4 linked regions of the Arabidopsis thaliana genome follow. The protein of the gene in region 1 interacts with the protein of each later gene in a pairwise test. Each region holds a gene or a part of one and is shown in the gene's direction. Other genes may lie near its edges.

The links.
Region 2: the proteins of KCS1 (region 1) and AT1G73920 interact in a two-hybrid assay, tested with the Arabidopsis thaliana proteins (one large-scale study listed by BioGRID).
Region 3: the proteins of KCS1 (region 1) and RABA1e interact in a two-hybrid assay, tested with the Arabidopsis thaliana proteins (one large-scale study listed by BioGRID).
Region 4: the proteins of KCS1 (region 1) and ABC4 interact in a two-hybrid assay, tested with the Arabidopsis thaliana proteins (one large-scale study listed by BioGRID).

The regions. Positions count from the first base shown.
Region 1 is NC_003070.9:56,661-60,957, reverse strand, and holds KCS1 (3-ketoacyl-CoA synthase 1), read left to right. Parts: upstream 1-1,742; 5' UTR 1,743-1,979; coding exon 1,980-3,566; 3' UTR 3,567-3,794; downstream 3,795-4,297.
Region 2 is NC_003070.9:27,788,941-27,795,472, forward strand, and holds AT1G73920 (alpha/beta-Hydrolases superfamily protein), read left to right. Parts: upstream 1-1,796; 5' UTR 1,797-2,253; coding exon 2,254-2,294; intron 2,295-2,655; exon of another isoform or gene 2,656-2,660; coding exon 2,661-2,834; intron 2,835-2,918; coding exon 2,919-3,315; intron 3,316-3,413; coding exon 3,414-3,712; intron 3,713-3,806; coding exon 3,807-3,875; intron 3,876-3,974; coding exon 3,975-4,031; intron 4,032-4,456; coding exon 4,457-4,509; intron 4,510-4,599; coding exon 4,600-4,675; intron 4,676-4,809; coding exon 4,810-5,758; 3' UTR 5,759-5,988; downstream 5,989-6,532. Other genes in the region: ARP4A (actin-related proteins 4A), read left to right, coding at 353-365, 502-593, 723-869, 957-1,030, 1,183-1,360; AT1G73930 (polarity axis stabilization protein), read right to left, coding at 6,407-6,532.
Region 3 is NC_003075.7:10,183,134-10,187,246, reverse strand, and holds RABA1e (RAB GTPase homolog A1E), read left to right. Parts: upstream 1-1,863; 5' UTR 1,864-2,023; coding exon 2,024-2,244; intron 2,245-2,911; coding exon 2,912-3,344; 3' UTR 3,345-3,576; downstream 3,577-4,113. Other genes in the region: AT4G18440 (L-Aspartase-like family protein), read left to right, coding at 1-5, 95-238, 320-421, 487-555, 644-862. UniProt on the Arabidopsis thaliana protein: Intracellular vesicle trafficking and protein transport.
Region 4 is NC_003070.9:22,323,897-22,329,369, reverse strand, and holds ABC4 (UbiA prenyltransferase family protein), read left to right. Parts: upstream 1-2,010; 5' UTR 2,011-2,431; intron 2,432-2,600; 5' UTR 2,601-2,610; coding exon 2,611-2,700; intron 2,701-2,779; coding exon 2,780-3,004; intron 3,005-3,085; coding exon 3,086-3,189; intron 3,190-3,282; coding exon 3,283-3,354; intron 3,355-3,442; coding exon 3,443-3,581; intron 3,582-3,657; coding exon 3,658-3,764; intron 3,765-3,850; coding exon 3,851-3,950; intron 3,951-4,024; coding exon 4,025-4,063; intron 4,064-4,148; coding exon 4,149-4,259; intron 4,260-4,337; coding exon 4,338-4,403; intron 4,404-4,467; coding exon 4,468-4,563; 3' UTR 4,564-4,933; downstream 4,934-5,473. Other genes in the region: AT1G60610 (SBP (S-ribonuclease binding protein) family protein), read left to right, coding at 184-292, 382-749, 826-1,371. UniProt on the Arabidopsis thaliana protein: Involved in the synthesis of phylloquinone (vitamin K1). Catalyzes the transfer of a prenyl chain to 2-carboxy-1,4-naphthoquinone.

The DNA.
Region 1 (4,297 bases):
CGACAAAATGTTTACTCTAATGTTTCAATTTAATGAATCATTCGGTATTTTGAAGCATGTTAGAGCCTGGTAGTACTGTGCATGTTATACAGCCAATATCAACCTTTTTCGCTAGTTTTATGTAAGGCTATATCGTTTATTTATGTAGCAACCATTTAAATTGTTAGTCCTTTTTAAAATTATTGCAAGATGTGAGTGTGTACATTCATACATTGATGACGGACTGGTTTCTAGTTAGTTGGTATTAAGCCGACCAACATTAATTGTTGGTTTATGTCTACACATGGGTACTAGTCTACCATTTATTATCATCATTATTTCATTTATCTTGCAAATTAATACTTTGATCTGTTTATTGATTAATTCTCTCTATTGTTCATTATGCTGTACATAAACCTAAATATATGAATTATTAGCATCTGATGAACTGGATCTTTCCAATATTGAAGTTTGAGAGTTGGTATGCGTACTGTTGAAACATGTGTTTCATGCAGTAATCACGATATTATGGAAACGACGTCGCTGCCTTTTGTCTTTGTTTTCTTTTTCTCTATTATTTCCCAGTAATCACGATATTAGAAATGATTTAACTATTAAAAGCATTACATTTTACCAACAACTTTATCCCAATGAAAACAAAACAGGGACAATAAGTCCACTTTGGGACCTCAAATCCGAACATTTTATTTACCTACAAAGCTACAAGCTACAACTACCCGTCCGAGGTCTATTTTGGACACCTTGGCACAATCAATATGAAATAACTAGAAAAATACTCGAAAACTAACTAGATATGCAACTCCAAAACTAATTACTTCTTTATCAGATTTATAATATGAAATAAATTCATTATGTAAAGGGTCCCTTATATAACAAACGTCTTAACGAAGACAGCAAATTTATAAATGACAATGACTACAATACTGGAACAGCTAATAGGGATGGTATATAATGGAGAAACAAATCGAAATGTGCTGCTATTAAGAAGTCATAGTAATTCATTATCATCAATTTACCATGGCCCATATTAAGGAGTTTGTATGCATGTGGGATACACATTTATACAAAGAAATAACAAATTTGAATATTTGGGACACGCTTTCGTCTACCCTTGTTCTTGCAATTTGGACAGTGAACGCTTCTCATGAATGAGAGGTACGTTTCTCGAACACGTTCTCCCTTTAAATTTACTATTTACAACATATTATATCAACTTACCCGTCGCTGACCCAGTGCATTTGCACTACGTGCAGCCAACCTGCTTATAATATTCAATTGATATATAATTTTATAACTTGCCCTCACTCAATTTTGGATAACCTACATACACTTGCTAATAAAAACATCATGGATGTCTAAAACGTTTAAGTTTAATTATAAGGAAATATATAACAAACATGTCATATTTTGTTGTGTTGTAGTGGTATAATTAACAAGTTATGTTGTTTATCAAAAACTTCAAAAAAAAAAAAAATTAGGTTACACCAAAATAGAATGTTATGATGCCCAAATATATGTGTGAAAAAAAAGATAAACCAAATTTATGATCTACCATATGACTTATGAGATTCAGCTAGGTTTTGTTAGACTTTTGTAACTTGCATTTCGTGTGAACAAAACATGAAAAATAATCTGACTACTTAATTTAATATCAAGGTCCCATATAAGTAGTTGAGCTAATAGTATTATCTCGGAACCACCCATCATTAAATTCGAATATTATTCCATCTTTTTTTTTTTTTTGTTAAGTCATTACTATTATTAATCTTTAAAATATTTTTATCTTTCTTGCACTCTATATATCTCTCCATCCCTACTTGCCCTCATTTCACCAAAATCCTCCTAATTCACCAATTTTAGAATTCCCATTCTCATTTTCTCTCTCTTTCTATTTCTCCAAATTTGCCTAAAGATTTTACATTTTATCTTCAATCCTTCCTTGATTTACGTTTGAAATATTTCGACCCAAAACTATACTGATGGAGAGAACAAACAGCATTGAGATGGATCGAGAGAGATTAACGGCGGAGATGGCGTTTCGAGATTCATCATCGGCCGTTATAAGAATTCGAAGACGTTTGCCGGATTTATTAACGTCCGTTAAGCTCAAATACGTGAAGCTTGGACTTCACAACTCTTGCAACGTGACCACCATTCTCTTCTTCTTAATTATTCTTCCTTTAACCGGAACCGTGCTGGTTCAGCTAACCGGTCTAACGTTCGATACGTTCTCTGAGCTTTGGTCTAACCAGGCGGTTCAACTCGACACGGCGACGAGACTTACCTGCTTGGTTTTCCTCTCCTTCGTTTTGACCCTCTACGTGGCTAACCGGTCTAAACCGGTTTACCTAGTGGATTTCTCCTGCTACAAACCGGAAGACGAGCGTAAAATATCAGTAGATTCGTTCTTGACGATGACTGAGGAAAATGGATCATTCACCGATGACACGGTTCAGTTCCAGCAAAGAATCTCGAACCGGGCCGGTTTGGGAGACGAGACGTATCTGCCACGTGGCATAACTTCAACGCCCCCGAAGCTAAATATGTCAGAGGCACGTGCCGAAGCTGAAGCCGTTATGTTTGGAGCCTTAGATTCCCTCTTCGAGAAAACCGGAATTAAACCGGCCGAAGTCGGAATCTTGATAGTAAACTGCAGCTTATTCAATCCGACGCCGTCTCTATCAGCGATGATCGTGAACCATTACAAGATGAGAGAAGACATCAAAAGTTACAACCTCGGAGGAATGGGTTGCTCCGCCGGATTAATCTCAATCGATCTCGCTAACAATCTCCTCAAAGCAAACCCTAATTCTTACGCTGTCGTGGTAAGCACGGAAAACATAACCCTAAACTGGTACTTCGGAAATGACCGGTCAATGCTCCTCTGCAACTGCATCTTCCGAATGGGCGGAGCTGCGATTCTCCTCTCTAACCGCCGTCAAGACCGGAAGAAGTCAAAGTACTCGCTGGTCAACGTCGTTCGAACACATAAAGGATCAGACGACAAGAACTACAATTGCGTGTACCAGAAGGAAGACGAGAGAGGAACAATCGGTGTCTCTTTAGCTAGAGAGCTCATGTCTGTCGCCGGAGACGCTCTGAAAACAAACATCACGACTTTAGGACCGATGGTTCTTCCATTGTCAGAGCAGTTGATGTTCTTGATTTCCTTGGTCAAAAGGAAGATGTTCAAGTTAAAAGTTAAACCGTATATTCCGGATTTCAAGCTAGCTTTCGAGCATTTCTGTATTCACGCAGGAGGTAGAGCGGTTCTAGACGAAGTGCAGAAGAATCTTGATCTCAAAGATTGGCACATGGAACCTTCTAGAATGACTTTGCACAGATTTGGTAACACTTCGAGTAGCTCGCTTTGGTATGAGATGGCTTATACCGAAGCTAAGGGTCGGGTTAAAGCTGGTGACCGACTTTGGCAGATTGCGTTTGGATCGGGTTTCAAGTGTAATAGTGCGGTTTGGAAAGCGTTACGACCGGTTTCGACGGAGGAGATGACCGGTAATGCTTGGGCTGGTTCGATTGATCAATATCCGGTTAAAGTTGTGCAATGATTGGTTGAACCGGATAATCATATATGTAATTGTGTTCTTCTTGATTTTATTTTTTAATTGTTGATGTAAGTTGTCGATTGAAAATCATATAATTTAATTAATTTATGGATGTGTGTTTGGTATACGTTAGTTGATTATTCATACTTTTGGTAAACCAGAATTTGAAAATTTAACTCAAGTCAAACAAAATTCTAATCCACTATGTCTGCGTTCACACACATGAATGAATGACACACCCATAAATGATAAAGCAAACCTTGCATACTAACAAATACTATATAGTCTACGCTGGCTCCAATTAATTTATGATATACACCTTTTTATTTTTATTTTTCTGCGAATTTGTGGTGTAGATTTATTCATTCATTCAACAATTTGATTTTTTTTTGGACCAAACGTTATCCACTACTGTTCCATAGGTTTTTATTTTGAATTTTTCATCTTCTGAAGGTTTCACCATTATAAAATGTTATATTTCGACCTCATATTATAAAATGTTTTTTTTCTTCTGGTACCTTTGTAAAAGTAACGAAGAGAGTCAATTAGAGAATCTGTGATGAAAAAAAGTCAATTTAAAGAATAAAAGAATATATACAAACAATTCCATTACAATTTCTCTTGGTTCTTGAAAGTCTTGAACCATAAATTCGGTCAACAACTCGTATAACTATAACCCATATAGGTCGAGTTGGTTGAACCAGCATCTACACATAACTCGTTGGCTGCTGCAT
Region 2 (6,532 bases), about 28 Mb from region 1:
TAACCAATTGAAATACCAAATTTAGAAAACTTGAGCAACAAAGTCGTTGTAGTATAGTGGTAAGTATTCCCGCCTGTCACGCGGGTGACCCGGGTTCGATCCCCGGCAACGGCGTATTTTTAATTTTTTCATATTTGTTTTTATTTTAGTCCCTTTGTTTTCAGTTTCTTTAGTTTTAGTCCCTCATATTTCAGGTTTGTTTGTTTTAGTCCTTCTCTTCTTTATATTCAACTTCCCAATCCGAGACAAAGTGAAATCACTTAAATAGTTTACTTTCCGGTTCCGTTCTTAAACCTTCCGACGAAGCTCCGGTAGAGAAAACCTCTCTTCACCTCTCCCATTCTCGGCAGCCATGTACGGTGGAGGTAGGTTTTATTTTCGTCCTCTCTAAAATCTCTCTCTGATTGTACAAATTCAGCATTACTTCTTTCCCTTTTCGCTTGAGCTCGTCTCGTAAAGGTGTAAACTTTTCCTTGGTGGGGTTTCTTATATATTGAACAGACGAAGTGTCAGCTATCGTAGTAGACTTAGGTTCTCACACTTGCAAAGCTGGTTACGCCGGAGAAGATGCCCCTAAAGCTGTTTTCCCTTCCGTAAGTCTCATTCTTTACTTCCTCTCTTTTCAATTGGTTAAAGTTAGGTCCTTTTAGTGTAGAGCAAGCAATTCGAGAAATTTAGGTTTTTTGTTGTTGCTGTTGTTGATGTGTTATATAACTTATAAGGTTGTTGGAGCGATAGATGGAAATGGAATGGATATTGATGATGCTGCAAACACCACGGAGGATGCAAAGGAGTCTGATAAAGAAAAAGGCAAAAGGAAGCTTTACACAGGATCTCAAGCTTTGAACTTTCGCCGCGATCAAATGGAGGTCAGTTTTCTTTATTAAACTTCAAAATGGTTAGGGATGAAGATAAATTTTCAGGTCTCTCTATTAGTTGACATTTGTCTGTTCCAGATATTGTCACCTACAAAGGATGGCATTGTAACTGATTGGGATATGGTGGACAATGTATGGGATCATGCTTTTAGGTAATTTGCAGAATCTGTTAGTTTTTGTCTTTAACTGTTTAATCTTTATCTTTTCCATTTATAGTTGATTGATGATTTCATCTGTGTAAATGTTTATTATTCAAGGAATTGTCTAATGATTGATCCCACGGAGCACCCAATGCTACTTGCAGAGCCTCCTCTGAACTCACAGCAGCAGAGAGAAAAGTCTGGTTTCTCTACCTTTTATCGATGCTGAGTTCATCTTGGATTAGGAACAGATTATTCTGGTGGAACATCATCAATGCAGTAATTGAAAGAACGCCTCGAGAAAGACTTGGTAGAAGTAAGGTAGTATACTGGCATCGTTAGGCTCATTCCAGCAAATGTGGTTCTCCAAGTCTGAGTAAGTAACACATTGGATTGCTCTCTAGATCTCGACTCACGTATAAACAGTGTCTTCTCATCGCTAGGGTTTGAGTCTTTTTGTGTACATGACAGGTATGCAGAGCATGGAGCTTCTTACATCCAGAGGAAATGCCCTTAAAAGCTGCTTGAGATCAAGATAACGAGAACCTTTGGAGACAGTCAGAGGGTTTAGGGATTAAGTAATTAGTATCTTTTCATTTATTTAGGCAAATATTAAACACTTTTTTATTATTATTATGAAGCTTTAGAAATAGCTTCGTATAATATAATGTTTCAACGTTAACATACAACAAATGTACTATTTTTCTAAGTGAAAACAACCACAAATGTACTTGTGTGTTTGCCTGTTTGGTAAATCCACCTTCTCCGTTATCCAAAAGTCGAATTTACGTGTCGTAGTTTTTGTCACATTCGTCATTATCCAATAACACATGTCCACGTGTCACCATTTTCTGGTCTCTGGACGGCAAGAATCGCCGACGTGCCCCTATTTAATCGGATTCTCCCATTTTTATTTTATTTTCGTCAGATTCTCTCCAATTTTGTTTTTTCTTTTTAGATTTTTGATTCTCGAATCGCGGCTCCTGTGGGTCTCTGTGTTTTCCTTATTTTGAGTTCGGATTAAATCTCGATCGCGATTTGGTCCAATATCTCCTAGCATCGAGAGATTTCTATTCTGGCTAAATTTTGTGTTTTCTCAGGTGGATAAGAAATTTTCTCTTTGTCGTTTTCCTCGATAATTTTCGGATTACGGCGACGAATCAGATTGTTTTTTGGTTTCAAATTTTCTGATATTTCCAAAAAAACAAAAAAATCTGATTTTTGAGAAAAAAGCAATGCAACGGATCGTGGACAACGCTCTCGCTGTAACCAAAGAGTGAGTCTTTTTTCTTATCGATCATCAGTGGATTCATCTGTGTATGCGCCTATAGTTGTTCTAATGTTTCATAAATGACAAGTAGAGATTTTTAAGTTTTTGATCGTTTGGTGATTATAGTAAGTCTCTTTGTTAATTAGTATTGGTAGATTGTGTTTTTGAGTTTTGTTAGACCATTTTATTCTAGTATCTTCATTCAAAGCTTCGTCTTTTAGAGTTGATGTTGGCTATGAACTTTGAGTCGGTGAAATGACTATTTCTTTTTTTTTGGTTCGTCTTTTTGTTAGATGTTCTTCTTTTCCCTTATGTTGTCTAACAAGCTTAAACTAAATAAGCTTTTTGATTATGTTTTGGCTTTTAGTGCAGATCAGTAAAAACTGTTACATATGAGTCTTTGAATAACATTGCGAGGTGCATAAATGGAGTATCAGCTCTTCTGTTGACCCTTCTCCCAGGGAAGGCTAATATTCTTGAAGGCTTACATGGCTGGGAACTCAGGCCTACGTTTCGTGGACCACGTTTACCACGGTGGATGCATAAGTAATAATTTCTCATGATTCTTCTGTTGTTAGTTTATTTGCAAGCCTTCAAAATATGCTAATTTTACTCTGTTTTTGATGGCAGTGGGGTCTCTTCTTTCAATGAGTTCATTCATGAGCTTTCTGTTGATTCTGATACTTCAAGCTTGGAGTATTCTTCTGGAGAAGATAGTGATGGTCCTTTGCCTCCATCACCATCATCTCAAAGCTCACGCCTCTCTTGGGCTAGCACTTCTGCAAGTTCTGAAAACCACTGGACAGAGTGGATTACGTTCATTCTTTGGTGGTTAATGTTTCCTGTACGGATCTTGCTATGGATACCACAATATATTATAAGTTTATTCTATAAACGAAGTTCAAGAATTCCTGCGAGCCCGAGAAGGCACCAACATTCATCTAGACCTCGTATTAGCAAGACCAACTCAAGCAAAGACCATGATGTTCCCAACCGAACTACTGATAGAAGACGTGGGGTTATTGAGGTTTGTGGATGCACGAACAAATATTCAATGTTACAATCATTTTTGTGATTTTAAACCTTTTGACAAACTCGTCCTACTTAATGTGCTTTATTTTTCAGGATCTTCATCTTGCTATCGAGATCGGCATAGAAGCAATATTTGATTTTTTTCACAAGGCTACGCATCTTCTTCTTTCTCCATCAGAAGCTTTTGCAATATTGTTATCATGGTTCTCATCTTCCAGTCGCAGCCCTAAAGAAAACCATGGTGAGGTTGCTTATGATGAAACTGTGCAGACTGCTACTTTAGGAGATACAGATCCATCCCCCACGGAAAGGCCCGTTGAAAGTCCCACACGTTTATACAACTCTATGAACACTGATACTCGAACGTGTCAAGATGTCATAACAGAGTTGGGGTAAAGGGGCAGATTCGATGTCTCATGCTTCCATTTTTTTTTTCTCTTTCTCAAGTAGTTGATATTTACTTGATTTCTCTCCTACTCTTGGTAGGTATCCTTACGAAGCTATTCGTGTTATTACATCTGACGGATATGTTCTTGTCTTGGAAAGGATACCAAGGTATAACTTTCTTGTTAGATATTAAGCTCGCTTGTGCATGCTTTCCATTCCTGTTACATTGTCTCTTAATGTGATCGTTGACTACTCTTGTCTTTGCAGACGTGATGCAAGGAAAGCTGTTTTTTTGCAGCATGGGGTTTTGGATTCTTCAATGGGGTAAGTTTCATGGTCTAGTTCTTAGATGACTCGTAAACTTTGGAAACTTAGTAAGCTGAAAAGTTGAGGAAGTATTATTTTCTATATCCATGTAGCATAACATTCCTAGGCGTTTCAATGTTCCTGACTCTTTACCCAAAAAAAAATTATTTTCATAATTTGTTCCCTTCAACTTTGCGTGTGTGTTTGATTTGCTCAAGACACAAAAATGGATTTGGGAAAATCTTTTGGTGCGATTAGGAGGGATACTGCTTTCAGTTACTTTAGTTATCTCATCTTCTTTTTTCCCTTTCCTTCTCTCCGATCCTTCTTAAAGATTTAGTTTTGACTTGGAACATCCTATAATCCTCTGATGTTTTGATCTAATATATGTCCTATGAAACATTATTGATTACTCTTTTTCTCTACTGCGTGTTTTTCTTCAGATGGGTATCTAATGGGGTTGTTGGATCTCCGGCTTTTGCTGCGTATGACCAAGGTTCAAGCCTCAAGTTTTTCATTTTCCAATCTTTTATTAATTCACATACGGCAACGATTTATCAGCTTCTTACACTCTTTTCCTTTACAGGCTATGATGTTTTTCTGGGTAACTTTCGGGGTTTAGTTTCAAGAGATCATGTGAACAAGAACATATCCTCAAAAGAGTGAGTTATTGCTTTAAAGTTCACTTCTTACTTAATCTACATGCACTGTCTGGTTTCTTTATGATAGTGGAGTTTCATCATATGTATATATTTGCAAGTTGTACAAATGTTCATTGTTATTGACCAAAATGCAGGTTCTGGCGATACTCCATTAACGAGCACGGTACTGAAGATATCCCAGCGATGATAGAAAAAATTCATGAAATAAAAACTACAGAACTCAAGCTCTGCCAGCCCAATATCGATGAAGAAATCAACCAGGAGGAGCCTTATAAGCTCTGTGCCATCTGTCACAGTCTAGGCGGTGCTGCAATTCTGATGTATGTTATTACTCGAAAAATCAAGGAGAAGCCACACAGACTCTCACGACTAATCCTACTTTCACCTGCTGGGTTTCATGAGGACTCGAACTTAGGTTTCACAATAGTTGAGTACATATTCCTTTTCATTAGTCCAGTTTTGGCTCGCATCGTGCCTGCCTTCTACATACCGACAAGATTCTTCAGAATGCTTCTGAACAAGTTAGCCCGTGACTTTCACAACTATCCTGCTCTTGGTGGATTGGTCCAAACTCTAATGAGTTATGTAGTTGGTGGAGACAGCTCGAATTGGGTCGGAGTCTTAGGATTGCCTCACTACAACATGAACGACATGCCAGCTGTCTCCTTCCGTGTGGCGCAACATCTTGCTCAGATCAAACACACCGGTAAATTCAGGATGTATGATTATGGAAGCAGATCAGCTAACATGGAGGTTTATGGCTCTCCTGAACCGCTTGATCTAGGGGAGTCTTACAAGTTCATCGATGTGCCTGTGGATTTAGTAGCGGGAAGGAACGACAAGGTGATCCGTTCCTCTATGGTGAAGAAACACTACAATGTGATGAGAGATGCCGAGGTCGATGTATCGTTTAATGAGTTTGAGTATGCTCACCTTGATTTCACATTCTCTCACCGTGAAGAGCTTTTGAGATATGTGATGTCGCGGCTTCTGCTTGTGAAACAGACACCAGTTCAACAGAGGCAGACCAGTCAGAAAGGTATGAAGTTGAAGAAGAAGAAAAAGGAGGGTACAGTAGTGTAGTAGCTGAAACCGATCTATGGCCAATGTTCAATGCCTCGTAGAGTTTGGTGTCTTTGTATTGTGATGTTGTGTGTAAGCTTCATGTGTGTGTTCTATGCCAGTATCCTATGGCTTGGCTATAATAGTGTACATATACCGTAAAGATTGATCCCTTGATGAAATGATCTTGTTGTGAGAGATGCTTTTTTCAGCCGTATGGTATATAATAATGTTTCTAGTGGTTTGGTTTCCATGAAAATGATATGATGTCATGAAAGATGCTATGAATCCAGAAAATTCCTCCTTTCCATTGGAAGATCTGAAGAGACCAATTAATCATATAGTTGGCGAATCTTTGCATACTTTGACATAGAACTTCTGTAGGTCATACAGTTTATTCATTTGTCGTAATAATATAAATCATAGTTACAGTTACATGTTTAATGGATCCAAGAAGGATAAATTTATCTGGTTATAGAGTTAAAAATACAGCAGTGATCAGTGATTTCGGTGTTGTGTGATTCTCATGTTTCAAAAGAAAAAACGAGTAAACAATTAGGGAAGATGAAGAATTTTTCTCTTTTTTCTTTGGTACAGTTCAAAGAATGAAACAGAAAAGGGAAGAAAAGAAATCAGAATCCTCATGGACGCCGTAGTGAAGAAGAGCATTCATTGGAGCTCTGATGGATCTTGAAGAAGAGATGCTCTTTGTGGATTTAAAAGCAGAAGTTGCTGCATGTCCTTTGGAAGCACACTGAACACCGCTTGTAGATCCTTCTTCAGTTTCTGAAACGT
Region 3 (4,113 bases), on another chromosome or scaffold:
AGCAGGCAAGTGTTAATATAAGAAAGGAAAAAAAAAGATGTCAAATCATTTGAATCTGAATGGGAAAATCGTCTCATTGTTTGAGATTTTGCAGACAACTAAAGCGGGTGAAATTGGATCGTCGACAATGCCTCACAAAGTGAATCCTATTGACTTTGAGAACAGCGAAGGGAATCTAGGGAAAGCAAACGCAGAGCTTACTTTTCTCAGCATGAAGCTTCCCATTTCACGCATGCAGGTTTTAACATTTCTCCATATTCTATGTATCTCAGCTAGAGTGATGGAAGTAAACTAAGCCTGAAAAATGTACAATCTGCAGCGTGATTTAACTGATTCAACTGTCTTGAGAAACATGGGTGGAGCTTTAGGACACTCTCTTCTCGCTTACAAGAGTGCGATACAGGGAATCGGGAAGCTTCAGGTATTATTACCGTAGCCCTAAGAAATGTTTCCACTTGTCACAAACTAAGAATGTTCTTGATATAGGTTAATGAAGCTCGGTTAAAAGAAGATTTGGATGATAATTGGGAAGTCCTTGCTGAACCAATACAAACTGTAAATTTCTCGAGTTTCTAATCTTCTATATCAATCAAGATATTTGATGTATCTCTAATCCACAGAAGTATTATGGTATCAAATAAAGGTGATGAGGAGATACGGTGTCCCTGAGCCGTATGAGAAGCTGAAGGAGCTAACAAGAGGAAAAGCTGTGAATGAAGAAACCATAAGAACGTTTATCAAAGGTTTGGAATTGCCTTCAGAAGCAAAAGACCAACTTCTGGAGCTAACTCCACACACATATGTTGGTGCTGCTGCTGCATTGGCACTGGCCGTGGATGAAGCTCTGCACTTGGGACATTGATGATGATCAAAGTGGTGATAGATTGTCCTCTTTTATTATGGTATTCTTTTCGAAATTGGTGGAAAACAGAGACAATTTATAGGTCGGTGACTTGCAAGTCGTCGTTTAAAATGTTAAGAAAAATCTTGTACCATTGTTGTGTTATGTTTCCTCTTTGAGTGTCTGTGTTTTATCTAAGTCTTGAGCTATAAGCTGTGGTCAATGATTCTCGAACCAATACAAATTATTGTAATAAAATAGGTCATATACACATTGGTGTCAAATAATAAAGAGTTCTCAAGTTGAAATTCAATTTGAGTGGTTTTTGTTTTTCTTTATAACCAAGTGTTATGTAGGTATCAAAATCTAGCAAATATATATGCATATAGTAGTCAAATAAATTGTCCACAGAAACAAAACTGAGAAATAATAATGTTAAAATGTTGTTTGTCAATTAAGAGCTTTAAGTAATTCTTCTATTTATTGCTAACATTTACATGAACACAAATGTTTTAGCCTTTTAGGTCTAAAATAAATAATATAAGATCTATCTCAAAAACAAACTTACTAGTTTCCTTTAGACTTGATCTATTACTAAAAGTCTAGTACATGTGTCCAACAATAATCTCAACTCTACACTATATTTAGTGTCATATAAAAAAAATCCTTAGAAGTTAAAAATAGAAATGGAAAATTTCATGACAATATACCATAAAAAATCTTTTACCTAGATATCTTCCTACACATTGCTATAATTTTATTTATGAACAAATTTCCCTGTGATTTTATTTGAGAAAAGCTATAAATTGAATTATTGAATTGAAGACATAATAATATTGTTTTTTCCTGCAAGTGTATATTGTTCTGCGTTTACCAAGTTCATGGCGGCCATAAACCCGAAGATTTCGTCAAACATGTTTGTTCTCTAATCTTTCCAACGACTTTCAAAACATATACATATGCTAAGTCATGCATATAATAATAACAAATGATTGAATCCTAATATTATTCTTATTTTTATAACACTACCAAAACCAATAAGCCCTTTCGTCGTTACCCACTACCCATAATTTCATTTCATTACAAAACACAACAACACATCATTCATTTCATTAGATCATATTGCAACATCTCTCTGAATTCTTCTTTACGATTTTGTAACTTCTATCAAATACCTTAATAATGGGAGCCTACAGAGCCGACGACGACTACGATTATCTCTTCAAACTAGTCTTGATTGGAGATTCCGGCGTCGGAAAATCCAATCTTTTGTCTCGCTTCACCAGAAACGAATTCAGCATCGAGTCAAAGTCAACCATCGGTGTCGAGTTCGCCACAAGAAGTGTTCATGTCGACGAAAAAATCATCAAAGCTCAGCTTTGGGACACCGCTGGTCAAGAAAGGTAATAAATCCTCGAAATTTCACTGTTTTATCTCTATATGTTCTGTTTTGTTTCATTCTTTGAACCAAACCAAACCGAAATGGTTGAACAAAAATCAAACTGGATAATTTTACAAATTTGTTTGTTTTACTATTTTGAAACCAATATAAACTGATTTAGTGTAACCAAATAAACCGCATTTTTTTAGAAATCCTCTACTTTTGATTATGTATCTCTATGGAAATTAAATTGAAATAGTTATGTTACATTAATATAATATTAACTAGATCATGATTTATTTCAATTATCAATTTCGATTTTTTTTATAAATATAATATACTTTTAATTATGTATATGTATGGAAAATTGGAATAAGTATATTGCACTGATATAATATTTGACTAGATAATGATTTTATTTTAATAATCAATTTCTATAGATTAACCAAATATAACTTTCTTGGTAAAAAGTTTTTTTTGCTAAAAGGAACCAAATATAACTTAATTCAAATCAAGAACAAATTGGAAAATAAACCAGATTACAAATTATTTTATTTGGTTTTAATTTCTATTAACCGATATAATCAATAGCCGAAACTAACCAACCGTAAACCGATCTCCCACTCCTATGCTCTCTTTCTTCTCTATATGCTCTGTTTTTGAGTAATAGCGACTTATTTGTTATACAGATACAGAGCAATCACGAGTGCATACTACAGAGGAGCAGTGGGGGCACTTCTAGTATACGACATAACTCGACACATAACGTTCGAAAACGTTGAAAGATGGCTCAAGGAGCTTCGTGACCATACCGATGCCAACGTTGTAATCATGCTTGTTGGAAACAAAGCCGATCTTCGTCACCTTCGTGCAGTTCCCACAGAAGAAGCTAGATCATTCTCTGAAAGAGAAAACATGTTTTTCATGGAGACTTCTGCTTTGGATGCTACAAATGTCGAACAAGCTTTCACTCATGTCTTGACTCAAATCTATCGTGTAATGAGCCGTAAAGCTCTTGATGGTACTGGAGATCCGATGTCTTTACCTAAAGGACAAACCATTGATATCGGAAATAAGGATGATGTTACTGCTGTTAAATCTTCTGGTTGTTGCTCAGGTTGAGATTATTGTTTTTGTTTTTGTAAACTGTCTTTTTGGAAGAAGGCTTTGGCTTTGGTTTTGTTGTATTGGACTATTTTTGGGGGCTTCATTTTAAGGTTATGAGACCGGTTTGTTTTATAATACAAACCGAAGAATTGTATTGAATTGAACAAGACTTGGTCCGGTTAATAAGATAGTTTACTAATACCGAACTGATCAAACATATATGATCCCAAAAAGGGAACTATCAAACAACCATAATCTTAGCTTTTGGTGTAAGATTTAGTTATGATTTCTCTTTAGGACATGAGTAGCCGACTTGAATCGATACCAAAAGTCTGGTGCTAACAAAGCGAGAATCTGATAAACTTATTAGTAATGTGAATTATGATATGAACATTTTATCGTATCTAATCGAAAGATTATTAGCGTCCAAGAAAATAGCTTTTCTATACAACTAAATAGCATCGGCTAGTTTTTTTCTTAGGGTTTTTGAGTTCGAACCAGCGCAGGTACATGTTTAAAATATCTATTAGTAAACATATCGCATCAATATATATAAAAAGGAAATTAAACGTAACAAAAAAAAAATTAACTTACCAAACTTTAGAAATAATTGAAATAATTTACCAAAAACCAAAGAGAAGAAGAGGAAGATATGTATAACTTATTCCACACGGAAGCAAGTTAGGTCCACCGTCCAAATTATGAGAACACCTTTCCTTCCAAGTCTAAGGATGTTTATTGTTTCGTACACTTGACAATCATCATAATTATTCATGCGAATATT
Region 4 (5,473 bases), about 22 Mb from region 1:
ATTGCTTAGGACAGTTAAATCTTATTACATCTTGGCTCGTCATGTCAAAAGCTGAAGATATTTGAGCTTTCATATCTTACAACTAATTAGTTTCGTATGTCTACAGGTTTCTTACTGTAATTTTTCTGTTTCAGTTCTTTACGGGTATATATATACACATAAAACGGTTAAGCTCTAGAGAAGATGTTGGGAGGCAACAATGATAACCCTGTGCCGCAGGTTCTAATGAACGACAGCCAGTTTCGGTATCAATCAAACACATCGTTGAATCAGCTTCACTTGCTTGGGACGAGTAAGTTTCTGAATTTTGTTATTCATTTGGTTTGAATGTTGTTAGAACTTTATAGAGCTAAAAGCTTGTTCCTTTGTATGTGGTTGCAGTGAGAGCTGGTTGTACTATTGATCCTGTAAACTACTTTGCTAATGATAACCTTGCTCCTATGATGCGGCTTAATAGCACACGCGGAAGGGAAACTGAAAACAACAATATTATGCAGAGACAGCAGAAGCTGCAGATCTCTTTGAATTATAACTACAACAACAATAATACTGTTGTTCAAGATGAAGTCCCAAAGCAGAACTTAGTGTCAACTGGTCTGAGACTATCTTATGATGATGATGAGCGCAACTCTTCTGTAACTTCAGCAAATGGAAGCATAACAACTCCAGTCTATCAGTCACTCGGTGACAATATCAGATTGGACCTCAATAGACAGAACGACGAGCTTGATCAGTTTATCAAATTCCGGGTATTAATTTTATCTACAAAGCGTATGTTTTTGCTTACATATCCCATGTCGTTGAAATTGTTCTCTCTTGGAACAGGCAGATCAAATGGCGAAAGGTGTGAGAGATATTAAACAGAGACATGTCACGTCCTTTGTCACGGCCTTAGAGAAGGATGTGAGTAAGAAGCTTCAAGAGAAAGACCATGAGATTGAAAGCATGAACAAGAAGAACCGGGAACTCGTGGATAAGATAAAACAAGTGGCAGTGGAAGCTCAGAACTGGCATTACAAAGCAAAATACAATGAATCTGTGGTTAATGCCTTAAAGGTAAATTTGCAACAAGTGATGTCACATGGAAACGACAACAATGCAGTAGGAGGAGGAGTTGCTGATCATCATCAAATGAAAGAAGGGTTTGGGGATAGTGAGATTGATGACGAAGCAGCTTCTTACAATTACTTGAACATCCCGGGGATGCCAAGTACTGGGATGAGATGTAAGTTGTGTAACGTAAAGAATGTTTCGGTCTTGCTCGTGCCATGTAGGCACTTGAGTTTGTGTAAAGATTGTGATGTGTTTACTGGTGTTTGTCCTGTTTGCCAGTCTTTGAAAACTTCTAGCGTTCAGGTCTTCTTCTTCTGAGTTGTCTTCATACTCTTGAAAAGTAAATGGTGGATGAACATATTTGTATGTGATGGTGGTGATGAATGAAAACTTGGTCGAGTCTTTCTTTGCTTTTGCCATTAAACCTATATAGCATGATTCTGCTATTTCGTAGTTATTAAGCAGCCGTTCTTTGAACACGAGATAATAATTGAGTTCCGTGTCGTGTGCGATATGTCAAGCTGTGGATTACATTGTTAGAAGAAATTATTAAACTTGTTTTGGCTGATTTTTTTCTTCTTAATATTTTTGCTGCAAAACTTGTTTCCCAAGTAAGGTTATTTATGTACTAAAACAATATTTTTTTAATGTAAAGGATTTTGATCAATATTTCCGTTAGAAAAATACTAATAAAGTTGATATTAATATACATCATATTACGTTTGCAAAAATAAAAAAGACGCAGTTAATTTCCCCATCTGAATATTAATTTTTGGCATTAATATTAATTTGGTTTAATTATAAATTATGTCAACATTGTTTAATTTGTAAATCATGCAAATCTAGTTTACTTGTAGTAGTTTGTACCAACCAAACCCTCAAAGGCTCGAAAGTAATGGGCCTTAAAGGCCCACCTTTCTACTTGTATTTAAAATTGGTCAAAGACACGTGAACCTCACGTGATTTTATCTTCCAACGAGGGAGCTTCTGTTATCCACTTCATCATTCACGTCTCTTCCGCAAAACCCAACATTCAAATTCTTGTCTGAATAACGAAATCCCAACATTTGCATTGCATAGATTCCTTCACAAATCCTCTGATTCTGATTCTGGTCACTCAATTTTGCCTGTTTATTGGCATAATTCGGGCACTTTTCTCTCAGTTTTTGTATAAGGTTCAATGAGTTTGTTCTGTACTTCTGTGTGCGTTATCTTCTCCAAATTAAGATTCCAGATTCGTGGGTTCATGAAAATCTCGTTGTAGACGAGCCAAGTTGAAATATTTTTCCTCAAGTGAATTTTGTTATGATCACGTCGTGGTTTTGATCTGACTCCACTTCCGTCGCTAACTCTCTTCGAAAGATTCGTGTTAAAAAAGGTAAAGTTCCAAACTTCATACTTTTTTTACTTCATCTTACTCATTTTCCATTGTCTCTGATTCATGCCAGAACAAAGATTTTAGTTATAGGGTTCCAGAATCTCGGACTTTAACTCGGAAGTAGTGTTCTTCCTCTGTTAACTGAAATTCTTTCTTTTGTTTTATGCAGAAACCTGAAAATGGTGAATTTTGTTTCTCTCTGTGACATAAAGTATGGGTTTGTGCCCAAAAATTCAACTGATTTGTTTGTGAAACGGAAAATTCACAAGGTAGGCTTAGCACTTCATCCAAAGCTTTGTTCTTTGACAATAATCTACTTTGTACTGTCACTAAAATTACTTAGCTTAGCTTCCCAGCAGAGGAGATGTAATCACTAGATTACCGGTGTTTGGTTCGAATGCACGAGAGAATCTGAATGCTAAACCAAGAAGAAACCTTAGAGTTAGGCCAATCTTTTGTAAGAGTTATGGAGATGCAGCAAAGGTTTACCAAGAAGAGGAGATTCCCAGAGCAAAATTGATATGGAGAGCAATCAAACTACCAATGTACTCTGTCGCTTTAGTTCCTCTTACCGTATGTTTCCTCAAGAAACCTTTCTATGTCCTCCATTGCCTTTATCTGCTAGGGAATATTCACTGTTCAAATGTCACACAGGTTGGCGCTTCAGCGGCCTATTTAGAGACGGGTTTGTTCTTAGCTAGACGTTATGTTACTCTATTGCTCTCATCAATTCTTATCATTACTTGGCTCAACCTAAGGTGATTAATTGATTGATTCCTTTTAACATTTTCGTTGACTGTATTTACTCTTTCATGTATTTACTCTTTCCAAACATGGTTTTATGTTTGCAGCAATGATGTTTATGATTTTGATACCGGAGCTGATAAGAACAAAATGGAATCAGTAGTAAATCTGGTTGGAAGGTAAAGTATTATCAAAGGATAGAGTTTGCAACTTTGAAGTTTATGTTTTTGAGTTCCATCCTAATAAACTGTGTTTTACTTGGAAAAGCCGGACAGGAACCTTAGCCGCTGCAATCACATCGCTAGCGCTTGGTGTTTCTGGTCTAGTTTGGACATCGTTAAATGCAAGTAATATCCGTGCAATACTATTGCTAGCCTCAGCAATACTCTGTGGCTACGTATACCAGGTGAACGTTACTTCCTAGATGACAATTTGATACTAATCTAGGAGATTTCTAACTTAGAGTAATACTTTGTGACTAGTGTCCGCCATTTCGGTTAAGTTACCAAGGATTAGGAGAGCCTCTATGCTTTGCAGCATTTGGTCCATTTGCTACTACTGCTTTTTATCTACTTCTTGGTAGCTCAAGGTAATATCAAAATTTTGTTTTAAGCCTAATCCATTCGTGTTTCCATGAGGTGTTAATAATGGAAGCTTGTTAATCGGTTTTGGCAGCGAGATGAGGCATCTTCCGCTAAGCGGTAGGGTCCTTTCATCATCTGTCCTTGTTGGTTTTACTACATCTCTTATCCTTTTCTGCAGCCACTTTCATCAGGTTGGTTAATGAAAAAGTGGTCTAATGAGTCCTGAAATGACAAACACAGTACTGACTACATTTACATTCTATAGGTGGATGGAGATTTAGCTGTGGGGAAATATTCACCTCTGGTACAAATGTGAAAAAAACTCAACAAGGTTTAATATGAATATGGTGATTGTGTTTATGATTAGAGTTTTTTTTTGGTTGACACAGGTTCGGTTAGGGACTGAAAAAGGAGCTTTTGTTGTGAGATGGACTATTCGTTTACTATATTCAATGCTTCTTGTTCTTGGTTTAACCAGGATTTTGCCACTACCTTGCACCGTAAGTTAACAGATTTGAGAACATGACTGAAATATAAGAACATATATTAAAACCTCCTTTTTGTTGTTGGTGTTTCAGTTGATGTGCTTCCTGACATTACCAGTTGGGAATTTGGTTTCAAGCTACGTTGAAAAGCACCACAAGGTAAGATATTTAGAATTGAAATTTGTAATACTCAAAGTTTTGCTAATCTATTCTTTTAATGCAGGATAATGGGAAGATATTCATGGCCAAGTATTACTGTGTGAGACTCCACGCCTTGCTTGGAGCCGCATTGTCGTTGGGGCTAGTTATCGCGCGCTAGAAATCAGTCACCAAACATTTGTTTCTCTCTTTAGCCTTCGTTGTATCTACCTAAACGTTTAGCCACTACAGTATGCTGTAGCTAAAAGGAAACATTCGAACTTACAACAGTTGTGAAAGGTCTCAAATTAATCACAAGCATGGTGAGCGATTGTATCCTCAATTGTTAAAGTGACGGGTGCCACCATGGATATGTTGAAACATGGGCCATGTCGGATTTAGTGCAAGCCCGTTGACGGCGTTTGTGTTAGGTAATTCAGATTTCCAACACACAAGATGGCCCAACAAAGAGGTTATGCTTGTGTTTGTAGGACATAATTGTTTCTCGATATGGACCTTTCTCCAATTCTTGAATCCATCCCAAACCACTGAAGTTGGATCCCATGTGCATTTAAGAAAATCATTAGAAGGTGAGATCCAGATTTATATTAGAGAACACATAAAACCCCAAAATATTATCATTTGAGAAGCCTATTCAGCCTATGTTATTAGGTTTTATAGCAAAATCATTAGCGGGTTTAGATGGGCTGCTCAAATGATAATATATTAGGCTTTATGTGTGCTCTAATAACTTTGATGGTAATGAGTTGACGGTATTGACCAAGTTGAAGATTGTGGACATTGTTGATTGCAATTTGATTCCTCGTGATCTGTTGTTGCTTTATGAATTACCTTCATGGCCGAGAAGCCTAGTTCATTCTAATCTTTTCACATCCTCTAAAGAATCCACAAGCTAGTAATTTTTCTTAAGCTTTTTACATTTTATTAATTTTCTCAACAAATTATTATATATTACTTGGATCTCAATATTACTTATATAGTACTAATATAAAACATTAAAAATCTTAACGAAATGTATATATTGTTGTTTTATATATATATATATGTGTCATCTTCTAATTATTCTAACT